Sus scrofa: one gene and its partners. The protein of the gene in region 5 interacts with the protein of the main gene of each other region in a pairwise test. Links are inferred from orthologs where the notes say so. Each region holds a gene or a part of one and is shown on either strand. Other genes may lie near its edges. The genes, in order: FAM107A, FAM124B, PRC1, PNKP and TRIM37.

What was found.
Region 1: the proteins of TRIM37 (region 5) and FAM107A interact in binary tests that used the Homo sapiens proteins (3 or more experiments, as listed by UniProt). The two-hybrid records come from large-scale screens. The link is inferred for Sus scrofa from reciprocal best matches to the Homo sapiens genes TRIM37 and FAM107A.
Region 2: the proteins of TRIM37 (region 5) and FAM124B interact in a two-hybrid assay, tested with the Homo sapiens proteins (2 studies listed by BioGRID and IntAct). The link is inferred for Sus scrofa from reciprocal best matches to the Homo sapiens genes TRIM37 and FAM124B.
Region 3: the proteins of TRIM37 (region 5) and PRC1 interact in binary tests that used the Homo sapiens proteins (3 or more experiments, as listed by UniProt). The link is inferred for Sus scrofa from reciprocal best matches to the Homo sapiens genes TRIM37 and PRC1.
Region 4: the proteins of TRIM37 (region 5) and PNKP interact in binary tests that used the Homo sapiens proteins (3 or more experiments, as listed by UniProt). The two-hybrid records come from large-scale screens. The link is inferred for Sus scrofa from reciprocal best matches to the Homo sapiens genes TRIM37 and PNKP.

Annotation. Positions count from the first base shown.
Region 1 is NC_010455.5:40,366,600-40,371,326, forward strand, and holds the start of FAM107A (protein FAM107A), read right to left. Parts: upstream 3,110-4,727; 5' UTR 2,833-3,109; coding exon 2,809-2,832; intron 1-2,808. UniProt on the Homo sapiens protein: Stress-inducible actin-binding protein that plays a role in synaptic and cognitive functions by modulating actin filamentous (F-actin) dynamics. Mediates polymerization of globular actin to F-actin. Also binds to, stabilizes and bundles F-actin.
Region 2 is NC_010457.5:126,124,541-126,129,216, forward strand, and holds the start of FAM124B (protein FAM124B), read right to left. Parts: upstream 3,119-4,676; 5' UTR 2,684-3,118; coding exon 1,952-2,683; intron 1-1,951.
Region 3 is NC_010449.5:55,890,134-55,894,082, forward strand, and holds part of PRC1 (protein regulator of cytokinesis 1), read left to right. Parts: intron 1-482; coding exon 483-578; intron 579-2,186; coding exon 2,187-2,333; intron 2,334-2,546; coding exon 2,547-2,657; intron 2,658-3,949. UniProt on the Homo sapiens protein: Key regulator of cytokinesis that cross-links antiparrallel microtubules at an average distance of 35 nM. Essential for controlling the spatiotemporal formation of the midzone and successful cytokinesis.
Region 4 is NC_010448.4:54,877,692-54,882,347, reverse strand, and holds the start of PNKP (bifunctional polynucleotide phosphatase/kinase), read left to right. Parts: upstream 1-1,533; 5' UTR 1,534-1,540; coding exon 1,541-1,665; exon of another isoform or gene 1,666-1,691; intron 1,692-1,945; coding exon 1,946-2,109; intron 2,110-2,715; coding exon 2,716-2,762; intron 2,763-3,346; coding exon 3,347-3,649; intron 3,650-4,656. UniProt on the Homo sapiens protein: Plays a key role in the repair of DNA damage, functioning as part of both the non-homologous end-joining (NHEJ) and base excision repair (BER) pathways.
Region 5 is NC_010454.4:35,323,711-35,327,659, reverse strand, and holds part of TRIM37 (E3 ubiquitin-protein ligase TRIM37), read left to right. Parts: intron 1-290; coding exon 291-405; intron 406-1,867; coding exon 1,868-2,086; intron 2,087-3,404; coding exon 3,405-3,541; intron 3,542-3,949. UniProt on the Homo sapiens protein: E3 ubiquitin-protein ligase required to prevent centriole reduplication. Probably acts by ubiquitinating positive regulators of centriole reduplication.

The DNA of each region.
Region 1 (4,727 bases), on a different chromosome or scaffold from region 5:
AAGTATAAATGTAATAAATTGAGTAATAAAAAACAAACAAACCATAACTGTGGGTCGGATCTGAGAACTTTACAGGACAAGCCAGTGGGAGAAGAAATGCAAGGGTGAGGGTGATTACATTCTGCACAGCAAGCCTGTTACACATCACCCAGAGGCCAGTGGGGCTGTTGCCTCCAGAAAGAGAAAGAGAGGTGGGCACATGGGGCTTTGGGTGGGGGTGGTTCACAGATGAAGGATCGCTCAGAGAGAGCCTGACCTAGCTCGCTCACAGCCTTTGCTCCTTGATGGTTCACCACTGAGAAGCTGGGGAAGTTATGTCTGTTGGGATTCAGCTTTTTCATCAGCCATTGGGTGTGATATGGATGCCCTCATTGGCTCAAAAGAAGACTTGTGAGGCTCAGAAGAGGATGCACTTAAGAGAGGGTCCACTTCAGGAAGAGACTATATTGCATATGTGCCTATTTCTTCCCAGGCATGCTATCATTTAGGTTTTACAACAATCTGAGGAGGATTATTATCTTTTGTTTATTTTTTATTTTTGTTGTCTTTTTGCACCTGCAGCACATGGAGGTTCCCAGGCTAGGGGTTGAATTGGAGCTATAGCCGCTGGCTTATGCCACAGCCACAGCAACTTGGGATCCAAGCCATGTCTGCTATCTACACCACAGTTCATGGCAATGCTGGATCCTTAACCTGCTGAGAGAGGCCAGGGATCAAACCTGCGTTCTCATGGATCCTAGTCAGGTGTGTTACCACTGAGCCACAATGGTAACTCCTATTATCTTTCATTTATTGAAGTAGAATATGAGACTCAGAGAGGTGTGGTGACTTGCCCAAGGTAACGAGGATGTGGAGGAACTGACTCAGATCTGGCTGACTCTAAAGCTCCCGTTCCTATCACAGTTCCCTGCTGCTTTCTCTCTGGGAGGGCTTTTCCCAGAAGGCGTGGGAAGGGACTGGGCCCATGGATAGCATGGCTTTCAACCTGGGGGCTAATTCTGACTGACTGTTAGGGGAGTCCCGGTTTGCTGTATTGAGGACAGTGAGGCTCTCTAGACTTAGTGGGAAAATGTGCAGGGATCAATTTGTGATGTCTGCCACATGTGAGAGAATAGGGAGGTGGTACTCAAGGTATATTTTGCTAGACCTTGTTAGGGTCTTTTCTAGGTTTGGGAAGCTGGTCTCCAAGATGACTCTCCACCTTCATGGTCAGCACAGATAGGGTCTAGAGGCTGAGTTCATTCTCTTCTGGCAGAGAGAAGGAGCAGGAACAGTGCTCCTGAAAGTGGGGATTGGTTAGGGCCGGGGCTCAAGGCTTGGCTGGGAAGGCATCTTTGGGACTCCCAAAGGCTGTGTCAGGTCACCACCTGCCTTGACTGCAGCTGACCCACACTGACCCCTGCAGGCAGGAGTAAGCATTGCATGGGGGAAGTGCCAGCCCCAGGATAATCAAGTTTTCAGGGGGAGATGTTTTTGGGGATGCTGAAGGGAGGCAGAAATTTCCAGGCCTGACTCTGCATATGAAGCAAGGGAGGTGGAAAGCAGAAGCCAGCACTAGAACGCCCTTAGGGGTCCTCTAGCCTAACACTCCCATTTCTGCAAATGGGGAAATTGAAGTCCGGAGTGCTTCCTCCTTGTGGTCCATGATGTGTTTGTCTCCAAATCTGAAAAATGTAGGATGGGCTGGGTTGGCCATAAGTTTGGAGTCAAGCAGAAGGGGATCAAAATCCTTCCCTTTTCTCCTCTAGCTGCATGACCCTGGCTAAGAAATCACGTCTTGCCTCTGAGCCTCAGTTCCCTGCCTTTAACGCATCATGACTTGTTTGAGGATTAGAGCCTCTGTGGTATCAGGCTCTCTGCTTGTCAGGCAGCATCATAAGTGCTTGAAGGGCGACGTTTCATGGAACCTCCCACGAGATGGGTACCAGCTCCACTTTACAAATGAGCTGGGATCCAGAGAGGCTTAGTTCCTCACAGTAAGTAGGTGGATGAGCTGGGACCTGGGCAGCCTGACCTCACTGCTGGGATCACAGTTGTGGTCGGTATGGGCTGTGAGCCCCCTGAAAGCAGGTGAATAGACTCAGAATCCCAGTCCCTCCTCAGAGACTCTGATGTCAGCCTGAGAAGGTGACTGTTGACAAGCCCCCTCCCACACTCCAAGGAATACTGCACTGACTATGCTATAACCTTCCCAAGTGAGATCCCAGACTGAGAAGGTGATGAGAAATAACATGAAAGTCCTGCTAACAACAGATCACAGCTTGTATATAGCCCACTCTGGGCCAGGCACTCTGTCAAACACTTCACATCTTTAAATTCTCACTGCCGGCCTCTAAGGTAGGGATTACTATTGTCCCCACTTCACAGATGACGAAATGAGTCACAGAGAGCATCAATCATTTGCCCACAGCTTTACCACACCTGGTGACAGTTGGTTAGCCAGCTTAATTACAGTGATCATTGGTTTTTTTCCTTGACTCTGCATCCACCTGAACCGAGGCTGGGGGTGGTTGTTTGTGGTGGTGGCAGGGGTTGGTTAGGGAGCCTGTAGCAGGGCAGTAAAGGGGTGTGTGAGTATAAGACCAGGAAGTCTGTTTCAGAGATGGAAGGATCAGAGGCTGGCCTTGCCCTGAGCCCCAGCCAGGTTTCTAGATGCAAATCTTTTCTGTGAGCTCAGGGAGGGAGGTGGGCGGGCAGTGCCTGGCTGAGGCTCCAAGGAGCTGGTGGGTGCTGTGTGAGGACTCCCACCTGATAGATGCAGCCCCCTCCCGTGTCCAGGGCCCCCACAGGACCCTTGGGAGCTCCTACCTTCTTCCCCTGGGCAGCTCCCATGGTATGACGTGGACACCCAGCCTGGCTGGACCCTGGGGGCCGGGCTGGAGTCCTCTCTGCAGCGCTGATCTCAGGAGCCGAGGTCCGAGGGGTTCCCGGGGTCCCCAGTCCTCTCGTGGCTCATTCTCCTCAGGCACAAAGGCAGCTTTCACAGCTGCTCTTAAGCCGGCAGCTCCTCAGACAGGCTTAGGGTGATTGATCCTGACGGAGGGGCCCGGTGTCCCCAGGCAGCCACATGCCCTCCCCGGGTCCCTGTAGCTCCTCGCTTCCTGCACCCCTGCCCCTCTCGGGGAAGAGAGACAGAGGCAGCCGGCGTCATTGAGAAGCAAAACCGTCCTCTCACCCCGCAGCCACAGTCGGCAGCTCAGGCGCCGCGAGTGACCCCTGGCAGGTCCAGAGGGCGCGCCTTGACCTTCTCGCCCCCAGATGAGAGAGAAGGGGCTGCGTGGGGCTGTCGCGGCATGGGGATCGGAGGGCTTGTGTGGGGCCATGAAGCCCAGGGCTGCTCGGCCCCATGAATAATAGATCTTAGAAGGCACTCGGGCCCGGGGTTCTCCCCGCACAGAGACAGAGAGAGCAGCACACTTCATTCCACGGGGCAACGGTCCAGGCGGGGAGGGCCAGAGGGTGGCTGGTCTGGGCTCAGGCCAGGAAAATATCTGGAGGCCAGATTCCAGGCCCGGGGCCAAGTTCTCAACGTCCCCCAGCAGTCGGCCTCCTCCTTGCTTTCACCCACTTGCTTCTCTATGTTGCCAGCGTGGGGCAAGGTTAAGGCCGGAGTCACCTTGAGCTGGAGTCATAGCTCTATTCCTCCCATGATTTGACCTCTCTGAGCCTTAGGTCCTTCCTCTTGTGTGTGTGGGGTCATATAATCAGCACACAGGGCTGCTGTGAGGTTTGAAAGGGAAGGTGGGTACAGCTGAAGCCTTTGTTTCGTTAAAGCATAAATCTGATCACGTCATTCCCCGTTTTATAATCTTCCTCTTGGCTAAAGCAGGATGACAACGGCCCCAGCCTACGGGGCTGTGAGGATGAAATGAGGTCATTCATGTAAAGCTGAGCAGAGGATTCCCCGTAGAATTTAGGTGCTGCTATTATGTTGGTTGTGATACTGGTGATTAACCCACTGCCCATTGGCAAGTCCCAGGAAACTAGTTTAAGCACAACGCTGTTCCCCAAGAGCTGGGTGGGTGGGGAAACCCTTCCCTTTCCTCCAGCACAGTGCCTGGCACAGTGATGGTTTATGACACAAATTGATGATTTATGAAGTGATAGTTGGGGGTGAAGAGGCAAATATTAGGTGTTCTAGATCTGATTTTGCCCATAGAATGGAATCCCCCATGGTTCTCAAGGTCTCATCTATCCAACCTTTCTTTCCCCTCAGACCTTGGCCCAACATCCCTCTCTCCCTGACAGTTCCTGGCCATACCACCACCCCCTTTACCTCAGGACTTTTGCACTTGCTGTTCTCTCTGCCTGAAATCTGTCCTATCTCCCTTGACTCCATTCTTGATCTTTGCATGAGTCTTTCCTCTTTATCATCAGGCTCATGTTTCACCTCTTCAGAGAAGCCTTCCCTGACTCTCTATGCAAAATAGCCTCCTGGGTTCTCTGTTGTTTTGTCACCACACTTATCAGAAACGGGGATGATACTATTTCTGTGTTTATCATTGCGCTTCCCCACTTGGAATGGCAGCCCCACAAAAGTGAGACGTAGTCTGTCTTGTTCATCAGTTTACCCCCTGTGACTCAAGTAGTGCTGGGCACATTGCTGTCATTCAATAAATATTGGTGGATGGAGTTCCCATTGTGGCGCAGCAGAAACGATCTGACAAGTATCTATGAAGCTGCAGGTTCGATCCCTGGCCTCGCTCAGGGGCTCGGGGATCTGGTGT
Region 2 (4,676 bases), on a different chromosome or scaffold from region 5:
GCTGGCAGCCAGCTGGTGACCACAGGGGCCTATGTGAGTAAAGGGTAGAGCTGAGAACTGGATCCTAGGCCTACTGCTTAAGACCCAGGCTGCTTAACTTACAAAAGTCCATACATTTACCCCCATCCTCTCTCCCCTCTAAAGAAGTTTGGGCTGGATTTTCTATGCTGAAAAATTCACCCCACTGTAGGATTGAAGTAGCTACAATGTGTTGCCTTTCATGCTATATTATAGGCAGGCCTTTATATATGCTTTCTTCAGGGATTTTTTAATGACACCAGAAACAGAAGTTTCCAGAAGGTAATCCCCCGTTTTGTTTGCAAATCCTAGACACATTGACATTTTTTTTCAAAAAAAAACAAAACAAAAACTATACTGCACACCCCAGATTTGACTTAACTTCCCAAAGTAATTAAGCTGTGTAAGCTGTGGTTCAGAAGTGAAAATGTCAGTTAGTTTTTAAAACATAAAGGATTAAAAATGCATCCCCTGCTGCACACACATATTAAATTTTTGCTTGACAGTGAGGTTTAAATTCTGGAGATTAAGGCTGAAGGAAAAACTCTAGATGCCTTGGAAATTAGTGAGTTATGTAACAGGCAACTAACAGAAACAGTGCCTGTCTGCCTTAAGTGAATAAGAAGGTAAATAATTTAGAGATCATTTCATATAGAATCAAAATGACTCATATTTTATTAATAGCTCAAAGCTGATGACAACAAAATTAATCTAAAGGAAAGATAATTCATCTTTTGCCTGTTTTTACTTTATCCAAAAGGCCTTAAAGGGGTTTCTAGCCATTTCTCAAGGTGGGAAGCCACAGAAATTTTGCTGTGACTATCACATACACCTCTCTGCCTGTGCGTGTGTGCACACGCGCGCGCACACACACACACACACACACACACACACACACACACACACACCACTAGACTGCAGTGGTCACCTACCTGGCTTTGGAATCAGGTAAACATTTCCTCTTGTGTCTGAGATAAATAACTGATCTTGTTACCCCAGTTTTCCCTTAGTTTCCCCTTCTGCAAAACTTCCTAGGTTATAAGAAGGACTAAATAAAATAATCAATGTGAAATACTTAGCCTGGGACATAATACAAGCAGTAAAATCTCAGAGTGCATTCTAGGCCTTATCTTAAACCCTTCATAAGTGTTAAAACATTTAATGTAGATAACAATCTATATTCTAGGAAGATGCTAATATTACTCTCATTGTGCTAATGAAAAAACCAAGTCTTCAAATCAAAGCAGCTACTAAATGGCAAGGCTCAACTGCCATGTGATACATTGTAAGAAAAGACTCCTGGTAGATCTCATGACTGCGTTTGCGTTCAATAGGATGCTTTCATTTCAAAATTTTCTTTTGAAAGCTTCTAACCAACTAATTTGATTAGGGGTAAAATTGGACAGTGATGCAGGATGCTTAAAAATTAAGTCAACAGGACTGCATACTTAATATCCCCAACCATAATTACAACTTCAACGTCTTTAGGTCCAAATGGAAAAAACTCAAGATATTTCTGAACCCAAAGAGTGCACACAGTATTTGCGTATAGTTGAGGAGTATGACTAAAGGAAAATCTGACAAAGAGAGTATTGTCTGATTCTATTCCAAACTACTTGTGTAAGCTACCAGCTCACAGAATCTGAACTTCCTGATCTGTCAGATGAGGTTTAATTAAATCAGTGACTCTCAACCATGCTACAACCTGTATATTAGAACTATCCAAGGAGCTTTTTGAGAAATACCCCCAAAGAGTCTAATCTAATGGACCTGGGGTGCAGCCATTGCCCAGGAATATTTGAAAACGACCCAGAAATTCTGATGTGCAACCAAAGTTGAGAAGCACGTGAGAACCAGGACATTACACCATCTCTCCCATGGGAAATCACCGTTCCACGTGTATCTAGAAGTCAGAGAGGCCAGACAGAAATACCTGAAGTAGAATCTTGTTGCCATCATAGTCCTGTGTTTGCCAGCGGGTGCGGCTGATGGGGACACAAGGATGGGGCAGGAGAGGCACTAACTGGCCAATCTCTTGAACCTTGAACTGCAACACCGAAGCCTCTTTGGGGTCCACCGCCATTCCGAGGGGCAGCTGCTTCAGGGAGAGCTGCAGAGTAAAGCTCTCGGTGGCGTAGAGCACAAAGAAACAGAAGTCACTCTTCTGCAAGGTGGCTTCCCTCTGCAGGATCATCTCATACAGCCGGATGGCATCCTCGTAGTTATCAAAGCTGCAATAGAGCGTCACTCTCAGGATCTCGGTGTCACCGTGCACCTGCCTCACTCCCCAGACGGGCATCTGGTGGTCCAGACTGTAGAATTCCTGGCTGGCGAGAATGTAGGGGCACGGTCTTCCCTGCACGTTCTGGGCAGGGTAGCACTGCCATGGCCAATGCTGGAGGGAGTCCAGAACGCGAAATAGCCGCTCCTCCCCGAGGCTCTCATGCAGGAAGAGCAAAACAGACATCCCCGGGAATCGTGACCGCCTGGAGTGGCACTTGTCATAGTATTTCACCGGACTGACCCGCTCGGACACCAGAAAGAGACGGACCTCTGGGCAAATGCAGTCCAGGAGTTGGTCCAGGGTTTGCTGCAGAAGTGAGCCATGCCCAGAGTTGGCAAGGAGGTGGACAGTCATGGCCAGAGGCTCCCGTGTTTCTTCCATCGTGGACTCCAAGGATGACAAAGGATGCCAGCGGGGAGGGCACGCTGGTCCAGCTTCTGAAAGGAACGGAGGGGCGGGCGGTTCCCAGCGCAGCCTTCTGCCCACAGGGAAAGCTTCAGGACTTCAGAGCCCAGCCCTTACCCTGTGCTGCTGGTTGCCTCCAGCCACACTGAGAGAATCCCCACAAATTTCAGGCACAGCAGCCTCCCCGACACACCGCAGTAGCGGGGTCAGTGTCATCCAGCAGGTGGATAATGTAACTGCGTGTGCGGGGCTCTTTCGGGCGCTCCCAGGGTTTCTGTTTGACCTAAAAACCTATAATCCTGAGAAACACCGGGGATGGGTGGTTCTTACAGACGCTCAGTAAAGGAAATGACCAGGCAGAAAGGAACACAGTCGGCTCTGTGAGGCTGATAGCAATCTGGTTGGTTGGAAAGACATCCACTTCATGGACCCACAATGGATTCTGATTTCCTCCCTACGTCCCCGTGTTTACAGTAGCCTCCAGGCCACCTGAACACAATGACTGCTTGAAAACAATTCTCAAAACTTGTCCCCTTGCCAGGATTTTTTCACCCTTTGTTTTTTTTATTTGATGCTTGAACAATTGATGCCAGGGCGTTGGAGAGAAGCTGTTTTACCTCAGTAATTTTGACCGTTTAACTGAAAACAATTTACTCTGCTGCGAAGTCTGAAAATAATTTACTCTGCACAACAGACATTTGTTCACACCCATTCTTTAGAGTGAGAGCTTTCCAATGTCAATAACAATCATTGCTCATGTCCATTGAGGATTTACTACGTATGGATCATAAACTGCTCTAGAGCTTTACATAAACTGATTTAGTCCTCCAGCAAAACGATGATCCCCCAATTACTGAGGAAGAAACTGAGGCATAGAAAAGCCAAATAATTTGCCCAAGATGTCACAGCTAAGAAGTGACCAAGGAAAGATCGAACCCAGGAACTGAGTGACCCCCCCCCACTCCCCCGTGAACCAGAGAGGAGGTACCTCTCTGGGACCCAGATGTCCTGGACTGGGCATCCTTAGCATAACGAAAAGATGCCCAGGCAAGTTCTAGCTAAGGACACACATTTCCCAGAATTCTGTGTTGCTGCTGAATCTTAACTGAATAATCTCCAGTAAGAATATCCAAGCTCTAAACATAACACTCACCCTAATGGGCTGTAAATATCCATTTAAAAATCATTTGCTATTTTGATAGCTGTGCTTCTAAAAATGTAGACAAGCACATTTTTCCAAATGTAATTCTTAAAATAAGCAGTTTATTGATGCTTATCATGAAACATGGTGTAACTTTACTTTTTATAAATTAAAAGGCACTTTTGGGATGAGAAATATAACTTACTCATTTTTTTTCTTTTTATGGTGGCACCCACAGCATGAGGAATTTCCTAGGCTAGGGTTTGAATCAGAGCTGCAGCTGCTGTCCTACGCTACAGCCACAGCAGCGCCAGAGCTGAGCCACATCTGTGAACTATGCCACAGCTTGCAGCCATACCTGATCCTTAAGCCACCGAGCAAGGTCAGGAATTAAACCTGCATCCTCACAGAGACAACGTCAGGTCCTTAACCTGCTGAGCCACAAGGGAAACTCCCTAACTTTATTTTATATATGTTTATTGCCCTAATAGTAAAAGAATCAGGAGTTCCCACTGGGGCTCAGTGGTAACAAACCCTAAGTATCCATGCGGACATGGGTTCAATCCCTGGCCTCGCTTAGTAGGTTAAGGATCCTGCGTTGTCATGAGGTGCAGTGTAGGTTGAAGATGCGGCTCGGATCCTGAGTTGCTGTGGCTGTGGTATAAGCTGGTAGCTGTAGCTCTGATTAGACCCCTAGCCTGGGAACCTCCATATGCTGCAGTGTGGCCCTAAAAAAATGATCAAAAAGAAGTAGTATAAGAACTAAATTTAGCATCAAATATTGTTATCCGTGGAAGGGAGTCATTTCTAGTCCAATCTCTTCTAAAT
Region 3 (3,949 bases), on a different chromosome or scaffold from region 5:
TTGATCTTTCATAGATCTGGGAGGGTTCACATGTCACTCCCTTGCCTTAGAAAGCCACCATTTCTCACTTTACTAAGAGTGGAAAGGAATGCAGAGCTCTCAGGTCTCTTTAAAAATATGTATCCATTTCTGAGAGTGAGGATTTTTTTTTTTTAATTTGTTTTTGGTCTTTTTAGGGTCACACCTAAGGCATATGGAGGTTCACAGGCCGGGGGGGGGCGTGAATCGGAGCTATAGCTACTGGCCTATGCCACAGCTACAACAATGCGGGATCCAAGGTGCATCTGTGACCTATACCACAGCTCACAGCAACGCTAGCTCCCTAACCCACTGAGTAAGGCCAGGGATTGAACCTGTTTCCTTGTGGATGCTAGTCAGATTTGTTTCTGCTGAGCCATGTGGGGAACTCCAATAGTGAGGATTCTTAGCAGAAGTGACTAGTCTGTCTGGGATTTACTCTAATTAAAATGTATTTTTCACAGAGAAAAGTTTCAGATCCAAGTCGATTTAGAAATCGTGGAGGAAATCTTCTAAAAGAAGAAAAGCAGCGGGCCAAGCTCCAAAAAACACTCCCAAAGGTAATATTGTTGCTAAAACAGTTTTTGGTGCTTGGATACAGAATATCTCACTTTTTGTCTATCCTTTGCATTGAATCATTTTGCTCCCTGTCTCCTCTTCCAAAGCTTAGGCTGGGATAATAACTATATATTGGGCCCTCCTAGTATAAGTAACCTGTTCTCAAGTTTCATTAGCTTTTCAGGGTTACCATATCAAAGTACTAGAGACTAGGTGGCTTTAACAACAGAAATGTATTTTCTCACCATTCTGGAGGCTAGAGGTCTGAGGTCAAGGTGTCAGCAGGGTCAGTTTCATCTGAGGCCTCTCTCTTGGCTGTAGCTAGTTGTCTTCTCCCTGTATCTTCACGTGATTTCCTTCTGTATGTGTCTCTGTCCAAATTTTCTTTTCTCATAACAGCCACTAGTCATGTTGGATTAGGACTCACCCTGAGGACCTCATTTTCACTTAATTACCTCCATGTCCAAACAAAGCCACATTCTGAGATGTTGGGGATTAGGACTCCAAATATGAGTTAATATGAATTTGGCAAGGGATATAATTCAGCCTATAACACAAAGTAACCTTTTGAGAAAATGTTTGGACTTCATTACTATGTTTTATTTAATTTTTTGCGGGGGGGGCCATCCCACAGCATATGGAGTTTTCAGACCAGGGATCCGATCAGAGCCACAGTTGTGACCTACACCACAGCTGTGGCAACTCTGGATCCTTAACCCACTGTGCCAGGCTGGGGATCAAACCTGCATCCCAGTGTGGCAGGGACGCCGCTGATGCTGCTGCGCTACAGCAGGAGCTCCACTGTTCTCTATTTTAATGATAATAATAGTTAGCATTTATTGAATGAATAGTTACTATTTCAAAGTACTTTCTTTCTTTTCTTTTCTTTTTTTTTTTTTTTTTTTTTTGTCTTTTCTAGGGCTGTACCCGTGGCATATGGAGGTTCCCAGGCTAGGGGTCTAATCAGAGTTGTAGCCGCTGGCCTACGCCACAGTCGCAGCAACGTGGGATCTGAGCTTCATCTGCAACCTACACCACAGCTCAAGGCAACGCCAGATCCTTAACCCATTGAGTGAGGCCAGGAATCGAACCTGCAACCTCATGGTTCCTAGTCAGATTCGTTAACCACTGAGCCACTATGGGAACTCCAGTACTTTCCATTTATTAATTTATTTAATCATCACAACATCTTTATGAGATTGAGATTGTTATTTCCAATTTTATAGATGAGGAAACTGAGGCACTGAGAACTTAAGTAACTTGCCCACCTTTTCATAGCCAGTAAGAGGTAGATTCCAGATTTGGAGCCCAGAGAGTGCTATTCTTAGTGTACACTGCCTACGTAACGTTGCCGGTCTCCCCCAGTGCCACCTCCAACTTCAGGCTCCAGAACTTCGTGGTCAGGCTCTGGGTTCTTAACTTTTCTGATCTTCAGGTGTATTATGAATGGACTAACCTAAGACTTTGATTTCTGGCCACTCCAACCTATTCCCATGTGGGTGCAGCTCCTGAAGCCAGGCTAATGATACTCTGGAGAGGGAGAATCATTTCTTTCTGGGCTTCACACCAAAGATTTGAAGTAATTAGTATGTCCTTGTTTCTGGTCTCAGCTGGAAGAAGAGTTGAAAACACAAATTGAAATGTGGGAACAGGAGCATGCAAAGGCATTTGTGGTGAATGGACAAAACTTCATGGAGTATGTAACAGAACAGTGGGAGCTGCATCGATTGGAGAAAGAGAAAGCCAAGCAGGAGAGAGTAAGTGAATCCTATTTGGGAAGAGGGAAGATAGTCATGTGTGAGCAGTCAAGTTGCTGCCAGGGCCTTGGGTTGGCTGCAGAAGTGGTAGCTCATGGCAGCTCTTTTTAGCTGTGGGTATAGAGATTTGCATGAGATTTCTGGCCCTGCCTCTCCTATCCCAGACTGTTTTCCTGCTGGGATTTATCACTGTTGCTTCTGACTTTCACACAGCAACTGAAGAACAAGAAGCAAACAGAGACAGAGATGCTGTACGGCAGCACTCCCCGGACACCCAGCAAGCGGCGAGGACTGGCACCCAGTACTCCGGGCAAAGTGCGCAAGGTAAACACGAGGCTTTGTGAACTGCAGTGTACAAGGCGTTTCTTTGTGAGGCTGGGGCTCTTGGCCATCTCTTTCCTTCTGTCGTGCAGAGATGGGAAAGGCTTTTTCTAGCCTTCCAGGTGGAGTCCATATGCGTGTGTGAGTGGAAGACAAGTTTAATCCTGAGTGGCAACTTGACACTTGACAGTCAAGGAGTAGAGCTAGTTTTGATGTGTGGCAGATGTGTGAAAGAAGACTTTCATGCTTAGCAAATGGAATACCTAATACTCCTTAGTCTCTAAAGCAGGAAAGCAGGGAGTTCTTCCTTCCTTCCTCCTTTCCTTTTTTTCTAAACCTTTTCTTTGATAAATGAAGTGTAGCATTATTTTCCTTTTCCTTTTCCTTCCTTAACTCATACTTTATAAACATATAGAATATTTTTAAAAAAATCACCTGTAATGTAACTCCAAGAGAACCAGTGAGAATATTTGGTGTTTTTCCTGCTTTTGTAAAAAGCTTTTCAAAATAGTGTATTTTTACAAAATACAGATCACATATAATTTTGATTTCTCCTTTTTCCCTACTTGATATTGGTTGTGACTTTTTTTTTCATAGCATCAAACTTTCTTCAAATACATGCTCATTATTAACTATATATTCTGTTCTTTTTTTATTACTCAATGAATTTATCACATCTGTAGTTCTATAATGATCCATCACAATCCAATTTCACAGGATTTCCATCTCGCAACCGAAGCACATTCCCCTACCCCCCAATATATTCTATTCTTTTGACATACTCTCATTTATTAAACTAGATCCCTATAGTTTGATATTAAGTAGTTTATTTTTTATTAGGAAAGTAATAATATGTTTGTTTTTTTTTTTTTTTAGGGCCACACTCGAGGCATATGGAAGTTTCCAGGCTAGGGGCTCAAATGAGGAAATTTTAAACATAAAATTCAATTCTAAAAAGGTTTGTTTACATTAAAAGTTTGAGAATCTCTTTATTAGACTCTGAGAATACAAAGATTAAGTGAGATGGCTTGATCTTAAGAGTGCTGCATTTAAACTTTTCTAAGTCCTGACTGCACTAATCATTCAGTCTGTGATACCAAAGTGATTATAAGAATTTATGCTTCTAGGAGTTCCCATTGTGGCTCAGAAATAATGAACCTGACTAGTATCCATGAAGATGAGGGTTTGATCCCTGGCCTGATTCAATAGGTTAAGGATCCAGCATTGCCGTGAGCTGTGGTGTAGATTGCAGATGCGGCTCGGATTCCCAGTTACTGTGGCTGTGGTGTAGGCCA
Region 4 (4,656 bases), on a different chromosome or scaffold from region 5:
CCACCGCCCTTCCGGCCCCCAGCCGCTCCAGCGCCTGTCCAGTTTCCCGATTGGGTCTGTCTTCTCTCCGCCCAGCGACAGATTCTTTCTATTAAGGGATTGGCGTGGTCCGGCATCAGGGCGCGGCCAGTTGACTTAATAGGTCAACTCTGTCGTTTTCTGCCTAGCAACAAGGGCTTTGCTCTCACGGCATTGGCTCCGTTCCCGAAAGAGCACAGTCAAGCTGCAGGATTGGGTAGTAGCCCTCCACTTCGCATAGTGAATGGGCAGTTCCTTCGTTTGATTGGCTTGAACACTGTAAAGGGCTTGACCAACATCCCAAGAGTCCTGTCCACCCCGAGTTACCCCACCTGATTGGCTCCAGCCTCCTGGGGGCGTGGCCAATCCCCTTTGCCCAGGATTGGCCTGTGGCCTTACATTTACAGTCTTTACACTACTGGGGCTGGGGTCGTTTTTTGGCTCAGTCCTGACAATTGTCCCTCTGGCCCCCTCAAGGATGGCCTAATCCTGTTCCTGCGTCTGACACCCTCTCATTGGTTTTATCACAACTGCCTGCCAATCAAAACCCGTCCTTGTGTCCAGGACGTTACCAGCTCCCGCCCCTCTCCCCCCACCCCCACAGGTGCCTTAAAGGGCCCTCGTCCACCCAAGGTGGAGGGCAGGGGGCCTCACTCTCCGGCCCTGGTGTGGGGGAGAGAATGGGGGGTCGGGATCAGGAGTTGAGAGGGGCGCTCCGAGATTAAAGAGTTTTACCTCTGACAAATGACTATGAGGTGTGTTGTGTTATTCAACATTTTCTGAAGCCAAATGAGCAGTGTCTCATTGCTTCTCAGTGCAAAGCTGCGAATTAAACTAATTGTGCCTATTTTACAGACAAGATAATGGAGATTCGCGGGGTAGGAGGAAGGATTCCAGTCCTGTGTAGTCATTGATTCCCACTCTTCAGGAGTGTGAGTGTTGGGAATAGTTTAAGGAACTACAGTTCCTGAGTGCCCAGGAAAGCCAGGAACCTCCAGCTGACGCCAGGAGTTTTCTGACTATTCTAAGTCAGCTGGTGGTTACAGAGCAATGGCGCCAGACCTGAAGATGGGGCCAGGTCCAGTAAGCGTGGAATACCCATCTCCCATCAGACCACCATGGGTGGAATGTTAACAGACGAAACTTAAACCGAGCCAACTACCACCTAGAAACTTTTCTGAAGTATTTATATGTACTAACTCCTTTCATCTTTCTAGTAACCCTGCAACGTGGAAAGGATTATCCCCACTTTGCAGATGAGGAAACTGCAGCATGAGGGTAGGTGTGTGTTGGGGCAGGGTTTCTTCGACTGCCAATAGTCAACAAAGAGGAAGGATAACTTCCCGCTGTAACTGTCCAGCAAGGGGAATGAAAACGAGAGTTTAGCGTGGAAAGAGGAAAATCTGTGGAGACCCCCTTCCCCCTACTGGCCTGAGCCTCACCCTGCAGCAGGAGAGATGAAGGTCAGAGCCGCAGAGGGACTAGAGAGGCCCCGGGACCGCTAAGAGGCGGGGCTTACGTCATGGGCGGGACCAACGCCCCGCCCACTTTAGTAGGCGAGTCATTTCCGTCCGCGGAGAAACGGAGAAAGCTGCAAGGCGAGTTGCGGGCCAGGCGCCTCGGGCGGGATTTCCTTGGTTGGAAGTGGTGAGTGAGCCAAGCAGCGGGCAAGGGTGAGCAAAGGGTTGAGGCGGGAGTTCATGAGTTTCTCGGCCTTTGCCCTGGGAAGTAGGAGTCGGGGCTCTGGGAGGGACGAAGCGGGGAGTCGTCGCCTGGGAAACGGCGCGAGCCCCAAGCCGGAGAGCGGGTGGAATTTCCTGAGCCATTCGCGGAAGAAGAGAATTCCTGGTGGAGCGGCCGAGGAGGCGGGACTTCCTGTAGCAATCTGCGGGCTGCCACTCAAACCTATTTACCTACTTCCCTTTAGGCCGGCTTCCAGGATGGCCAAGGTGGAGGCCCGGGGCCGCCTGTGGCTGGAGAGCCCCCCTGGGGGAGCACCTCCCATCTTCCTGCCCTCCGACGGGCAAGCCCTGGTCCTGGGCCGGGGACCCTTGACTCTGGTTACCGACCGGAAATGCTCCCGAAACCAAGGTGGGCGAGGGCGGGGCCTGAGCCGGAGGGGGTGTGGCCTGCTTCAGAAGCGGGAACACAATCAATGGGAAAGACCGAGAGTTAGTCCGGGGAGGGATGTGCTTGGCCCCCAGGCCGAATCGCGTGGTGCAGCTAGTCCTGAAGTTGGCAAGTGCCCTCCGGGGAGCACAGAAGGGAAAGGTGGTGCCTGACCCCACCTGGAACTAGCCAGATAACTCGGGCTTGAATCCGGCCACCACCTTGTCCAGGAGAGAGCCGATCCTATGAAGAAAAATGCATATTGCTGAGCAGAGATGGGTGGTAGCAGGCCAAGCCCAGGACTTGCATCTCGTCAGGTTCCTGCGTTGTCAAGGAGAAACCAATGCTATACAGAAAAACACCTGCCTTGCCCCTAGGCGAGGACCGGTGTCACAGGCTATCCTAAGGCCATTATCTGGCTACTGCATATCGAGGAGTGAGCCAAACCTACTTAGAAATAAACCACCTCCTCCTGCTGAATGGGTGTTGTAGCCCCATCCTGTGGCCTGAAGCAGGCCACACTCCCCAGTAGGGAAGGAAACAATCACCGAAAGATTCAGATCCCAACTCCACCCCCTCAATCCTCAGTGGAGCTGGTTGCAGACCCTGAGACTCGGACCGTGGCAGTGAAACAGGTACCAGTTCGTTGGCAAGGGGCAGCAGGCCTGGGGGTGGGGCGGGGTGGGGGGGTCGAAGGGTAGGAACAGCTGGGGAAACTGGCCCATCGAGAAAATCTAACTGCCTGGGAGGGGAGGAGGTCTGGCCTCTTTCAGTGGGGTAAACTTTCATCCCCATTTAAATTGGGTAAGACTAGGAATTCCCCTTGTGGCTCAGGAGGGTAAGGATATGACGTCGTCTCTGTGGGGATGTGGGTTCCATCCCCGGCTGTAAAGGATCCAGCGTTATTGTAAACTACGGCCGTAACTCCGCAGATGAGACTGGGATCCGGCGTTGCTATGGCGCTGTGGCCTAGGCCTCCGCTATGGATTCCACTCCTTCCATGTGCCGCAGGTGTAGCAGTCAAAGAAAAAAAACAAAATTGGTTAGGACTGGATGCGTATTACCTTCCCAATGCCCTGATTGGCGGTACACAGTGAAGAGGTGGAGCTTAAGGGTCTGATTGGCTGATGGAGAAAGGAAGGCCTTTTTGAGGTTATTTGATTGGATGAGGTTACTGGTGGGGTGGAGCCTGTACCAGCACCTCCCTCTTTCTTTGCAGCTAGGAGTTAACCCCTCAACTGCTGGAGCCCAAGAGCTGAGGCCGGGGTTGGAGGGCTCTCTAGGGGTGGGGGACACGTTGTATTTGGTCAACGGCCTCCACCCGTTGACCCTGCGCTGGGAAGAGGCTCGCACTCCAGAATTGCAGCCAGACACTCCACCTGGCACGCCTCCTGTGCCCCCACACGAGGAGGAGGAAGAGGCTGAGCCGCCGAAAAAGCAGATGCGGAAGTCATCTCCTGGCTGGGAGAGCTTTGAGAAGCTACTAGTATTCACAGCACCTGGTGTGAAGCCGCGGGGCAAGGTGAGGCCCGAGCTGAGGATTGCGGGGTTCATTGTCAGCATTGGGAAAATCGATGCATGTCAGCTCCTGCCCCACCCACAGTAACCACCCAGTAACCATAGCCATTGGTCATGATCATGTTGGCGGGAGTTATGATGAGTATTTCTTAGGTCAGAGAGGCGAGTTCAAATGCTGTTACACTGGAGTTCCCGTTGTGGCTCTGCGGGTTAAGGACCCATCCGTTGTCTCTGTGAGGATGAATGTCCAATCCCTGGTCTTCCTCGGTGGGTTAAAGATCTAGCATTGCCACAAGCAGTGGCATAGGTCCCAGATGTGGCTCCGTTCCTGAGTTGCTGTGCCTGTGGCGTAGGCCGGCAGCTGTAGCTCCAGTTCAATCCCTAGCCCAAGAATTTCCATATGCTGCAGGTGCAGCCCTAACAACAACAAAAAAAAGGCTGTTACACCATGTTCTTTGAGCCCCACTTCTCTCATCATACGAGGAATCCACAAAAAGCAGTCCCTGATGTGCACTAACCGCCAAAACAAAACTTAGCTCCTGGTTTTATTTCATGGTTATTAGCCCATTAGCCCTCCGCGGTGGAAAAGGTCAGGGGGGGAGGCTGGGTCAGATTTAAAGCCCCCCCCCTTTTGGCTTTTTAGGGCCGCACCCACGGCATATGGAGGTTCCCAGGCCAGGGGTCGAATCAGAGCTGTAGCCGCTGGCCTACGCCACAGCTACTCGGGATCTGAGCTGCATCTGCGACCTACACCACAGCTCACGGCTCCTTAATCCACTGAGCAAGGCCAGGGATCGAACCTGTGTCCTCATGGATGCTAGTCAGATTTGCGCTGAGCCACGACGGGGACTCCTGAAGCCCATTTTAAAGATGGAAACAATGAGAGGCTGAGAGGAATAGGAGGTGGTGGGGTGAAGCCTTCACTCTCTGCCCTCTGGTTTCCCGGATGCATCTTACCATGACTTATCCTTGCAAAAGCTGTGTCGTCTCCCTGTGACTCAGTTCCCCACC
Region 5 (3,949 bases):
CAGTGTTATATGTTTTAGTAGATTAGTTTGGGAGTTTAACCATGATGTATAGTGCTATTTTTTTTTTAAAGTACACTTTGAGTTTAGACAGCTGACTTATAAATGACTTTTCAGAACCATGTGTCATTATAATTTGTGGACTGCACATATAAGTGGAAAATACCAGGAGCTCTGAGTTTGTTTTGAATTTTGGCCTTATAGCAAACTCATATAAATTTATATTTGTAGATTTATCATAATAGATTTAAGGCTTATCTTACTGTTTGAATTACTTTTCATGTGCTTTTAAGGTTTCAGGTTCGTTCACCAACTTTCTTTCAAAAATGCCGGGACCAGCATTGGTATATTACTCAGTTGGAAGCTGCACAGACTAGCTATATCCAACAAATAAATAACCTTAAAGAGGTAAGCAAAAAACATATATTTTAGGTTTACTGTTTTATATTGTCTACATTTGTAATTAGATTTTGGATATTATTGCTATTTTTGATTTTGTAGAATAATCCAGTTGTCTCATTCTTTTTTTTTTTCTTTTTTTTCTTTTTTGTTTTTGGGCACAGCCTCAGCATACAGAAGTTCCTGGGCCAGAGGGTGAATCTGAGCCGTATCTGTGACCTACGATGCCAGATCTTTAACCTACTGTGCCACAGCAGAAACACCTTAGTTGTCTTGTTCTTTATTCTTATAACCTTTTGAGTCTCCAATTCCAGACTGTCTGTTCAGTAGCCACGTATGGCCGTTTAGACTTAATCAAATTAAAATTTTAGTTCCTTTCTGTTCCGGCCATGTTTCAGGTATTGGGAACTGCAGATATAGACCATTTCCATCATTGTATAAAATTGTATGTACTATGCTGCTTTACTTTGAGGTAAACTTTTTCTCTCAGTGACGTGGGTATTTCTCTTCGCCATGCTGTCTCAAATTGAGAGGATTCTAAGCTATAGAACAATTGAAAATTGCCCCATATTCAGTTCTCAGTATTGTTGAATTGAGTGCTGGGGATGATCACTTAATGACTTGTTTGTTTGTTGTTTGTTTGTTTGGCTTGTTAGGGCCACCCTTGCATATGGAAGTTCCCAGGCTGGGGGTTGAATTGGAACTACAGCTGCCAGCCCATAGCACAGCACATCTGTGTCTGCAACCTACATCACAGCTCATGACAATACCAGATCCCCCCACTGGCAAGGCCAGAGATTGAACCTGCATCTTCATGGATACTAGTCGGATTTGTTTCCACTGCACCACAGCAAGAACTCCCTGACTTTTTATTTTACAATGGTAAACTAAATTGCATAAGGAATATTTCTTCCTACCAATGGATATTGGAATTGGATGAGGATTTTGAAGGGTTGAGGTGGTTAATACATGAGGAAGGAAAAATTTCATATTAAGTGTACTATTACCAGAAATTTTCATGTTAAGAATACTATTTAAAACTGCCTTATTTATTCCACAGTTTGCTAATTGTGTATATAGCTTGGGCTAGAAAAGAAAAGATGAGAATACATTGTGCAATTTTTCTTTGTCATAGATTTTTCCATAAGCAAAAGTCAGAAAGATATGAGATGGTTCAAGAAATGGTTTTGGAGTTCTCATTGTAGACCAGCAGGTTAAGGACCTGACATAGTCTCTGTGAGGATTCAGGTTCAATCCCTGGTCTTGCTCAGTGGGTTGGGGATCTGGTGTTGCTGCAAGGTGTGGTGTAGGTGCAGCTGAACTTTGATAAGCCACAGATGCAGCCATAATGAGAGAAAAACAATGGTTTTATGACCATTTGGATACATGTAGTTATTTTCATTTGAAATAATTTACTGTACTAGTGAAGCACTGCTTAATACTCACATTTGTATAATTCTTGTTTTAATAGAGACTTACTATTGAGTTGTCTCGAACTCAGAAATCGAGAGATTTGTCACCACCAGATAATCATCTTAGTCCCCAAAATGATGAAACTCCTGAGACACGAGCTAAGAAGTCTGGATCATGTGCTGACATGCTTCTCCAGGATTGTTCTACTACAGCTTCTGTAAGAGAGGTCAAAGAGGATGAAGAAGATGAGGAGAAGATTCAAAATGAAGATTATCATGTAATAATTAGACCCGTTCTAGATTTGTTTTATGTTTGAAAAGAAAAATGATACAGTGATTTCTAACATAGACTATAGGGGGAATCAATGTGCTGAAAATCTTGTTCATTTATATTTTCATTGTTAGTGTATACCCTCTGTAAGTCAGAAGTTGTAGAATCAAAAGTGTTTCTAGATTCCAATAATTTATAGAAAACTGTATATTCTACAAAACAAACTTTGGTGTATATTCTAGAAACTGTACAAATTGTGGCTTTTAAAAAGATGTCCAGTTTCCATTCATTGAATCTAAAAGCACCTTGTCATTGCATATGTAGGTAGAATGATTTAGGATTTGGGAGATAGCCAGATTTTGTTCCAGCTAAACAGCTAGAATGAGAATTCAGAAAGTGGTTGTTACTGTTTAAGGTAAGAGGGTGATGGAGAAATAAGCCTTTTTTGTTACAGCTGTTATTTGTAAGATGGGAGGCTTGGGGTATATGTTAGGAGCCATGAGGGAGAGAGATTGAAGATGAGTTCCAGGGTTTTGATAAAACAAAGTGTTTAAGGAGATAATAGAGGTTTGAATGGAGCACTCAGGTGAAGCAGTTAACCTTTAATAGAGTTAAAAGAACGGAGGAGTTTGCAGCTAGAGCAGCTAAAAGTCGGGGGCATTTGTGCTTAATAGCCAATATATTTTTCTGAGTAGATAGGTGATGGGGTTTTATAATTACCTGGAGGATTATAAAGGTTAGGCAGCCTTGAGGAGTGGTGGTTTGAAATGTTACTCTTTGAAGAGCCTTACTGGAAGCTGATATGGACGGTATGAAACATTTCCATTCACATCGAGGGCCCAGCTGAAACTGGCAGAAGTTAATTACTAGTGGTTACTAGGCAATGTGGTTGAGTGATTTATCTCTGCAGGGCTCAGCAATCCAGGCACAGGAGCAGAGTTTCTGATGATTATATTATTCTTTGGTGCTTGGTCCATGGGCTGGCTGGGACAAACTGAGTGAAAACATTTGAAATAGAAATCTTGTTTCTGGAGTTTCCGTTGTGGCACAGTGGTTAACGAATCCAACTAGGAACCATGAGGTTGCGGGTTCGGTCCTTGCCCTTGCTCAGTGGGTTAACGATCTGGCATTGCCATGAGCGGTGGTGTAGGTTGCAGACGCGGCTCGGATCCTGTGTTGCTGTGGCTTTGGTGTAGGCCAGAGGCTACAGCTCCCATCTGACCCCTAGCCTGGGAACCTCCATATGCCACGGGAGTGGCCCAAGAAATAGCAAAAAGACAAAAGAAAAGAAAAGAAAGAAATCTTGTTTCTTTGCCTTAACCTAGCATGAGCTTTCGGATGGAGATCTGGATCTGGATCTTGTTGGTGAAGATGAAGTAAATCACCTTGATGGCAGCAGTTCCTCTGCCAGTTCCACAGCAACAAGTAACACAGAAGAAAATGATATTGATGAAGAAACTATGTGAGTGTCTTACATTTACTACTGCTATAAATCATCTAAGTGGGAATTATTAGAAGCATATTAATTAAGTTGGGCTTAAAAGTGAGGATATTGAGGTTTTTTGATCAACACTATCTTACCTAAACAAACGAACTTGAAGGAAAGAGTGAATTAGTTTCTTTCCTCTCATCTCTGAGTTCCAAACCGAGTTACAGTTTTAACTTTTTTTTGGCTGCATCCACGGCATAGGGAAGTTCCCAGGCCAGGGATTGAACCCAAGCCAATGCAGCAACAGTGCTGGATCCTTAACCTGCTCCACCACAAGGAAATTCCTAGTTTTAACTTTTAATTTTGTAGTTATTTCATATTTAAGAAAAGTTGGAAAATTATAACAGACAATTCCTATACTTCCTTTGCCCAGATTAATTC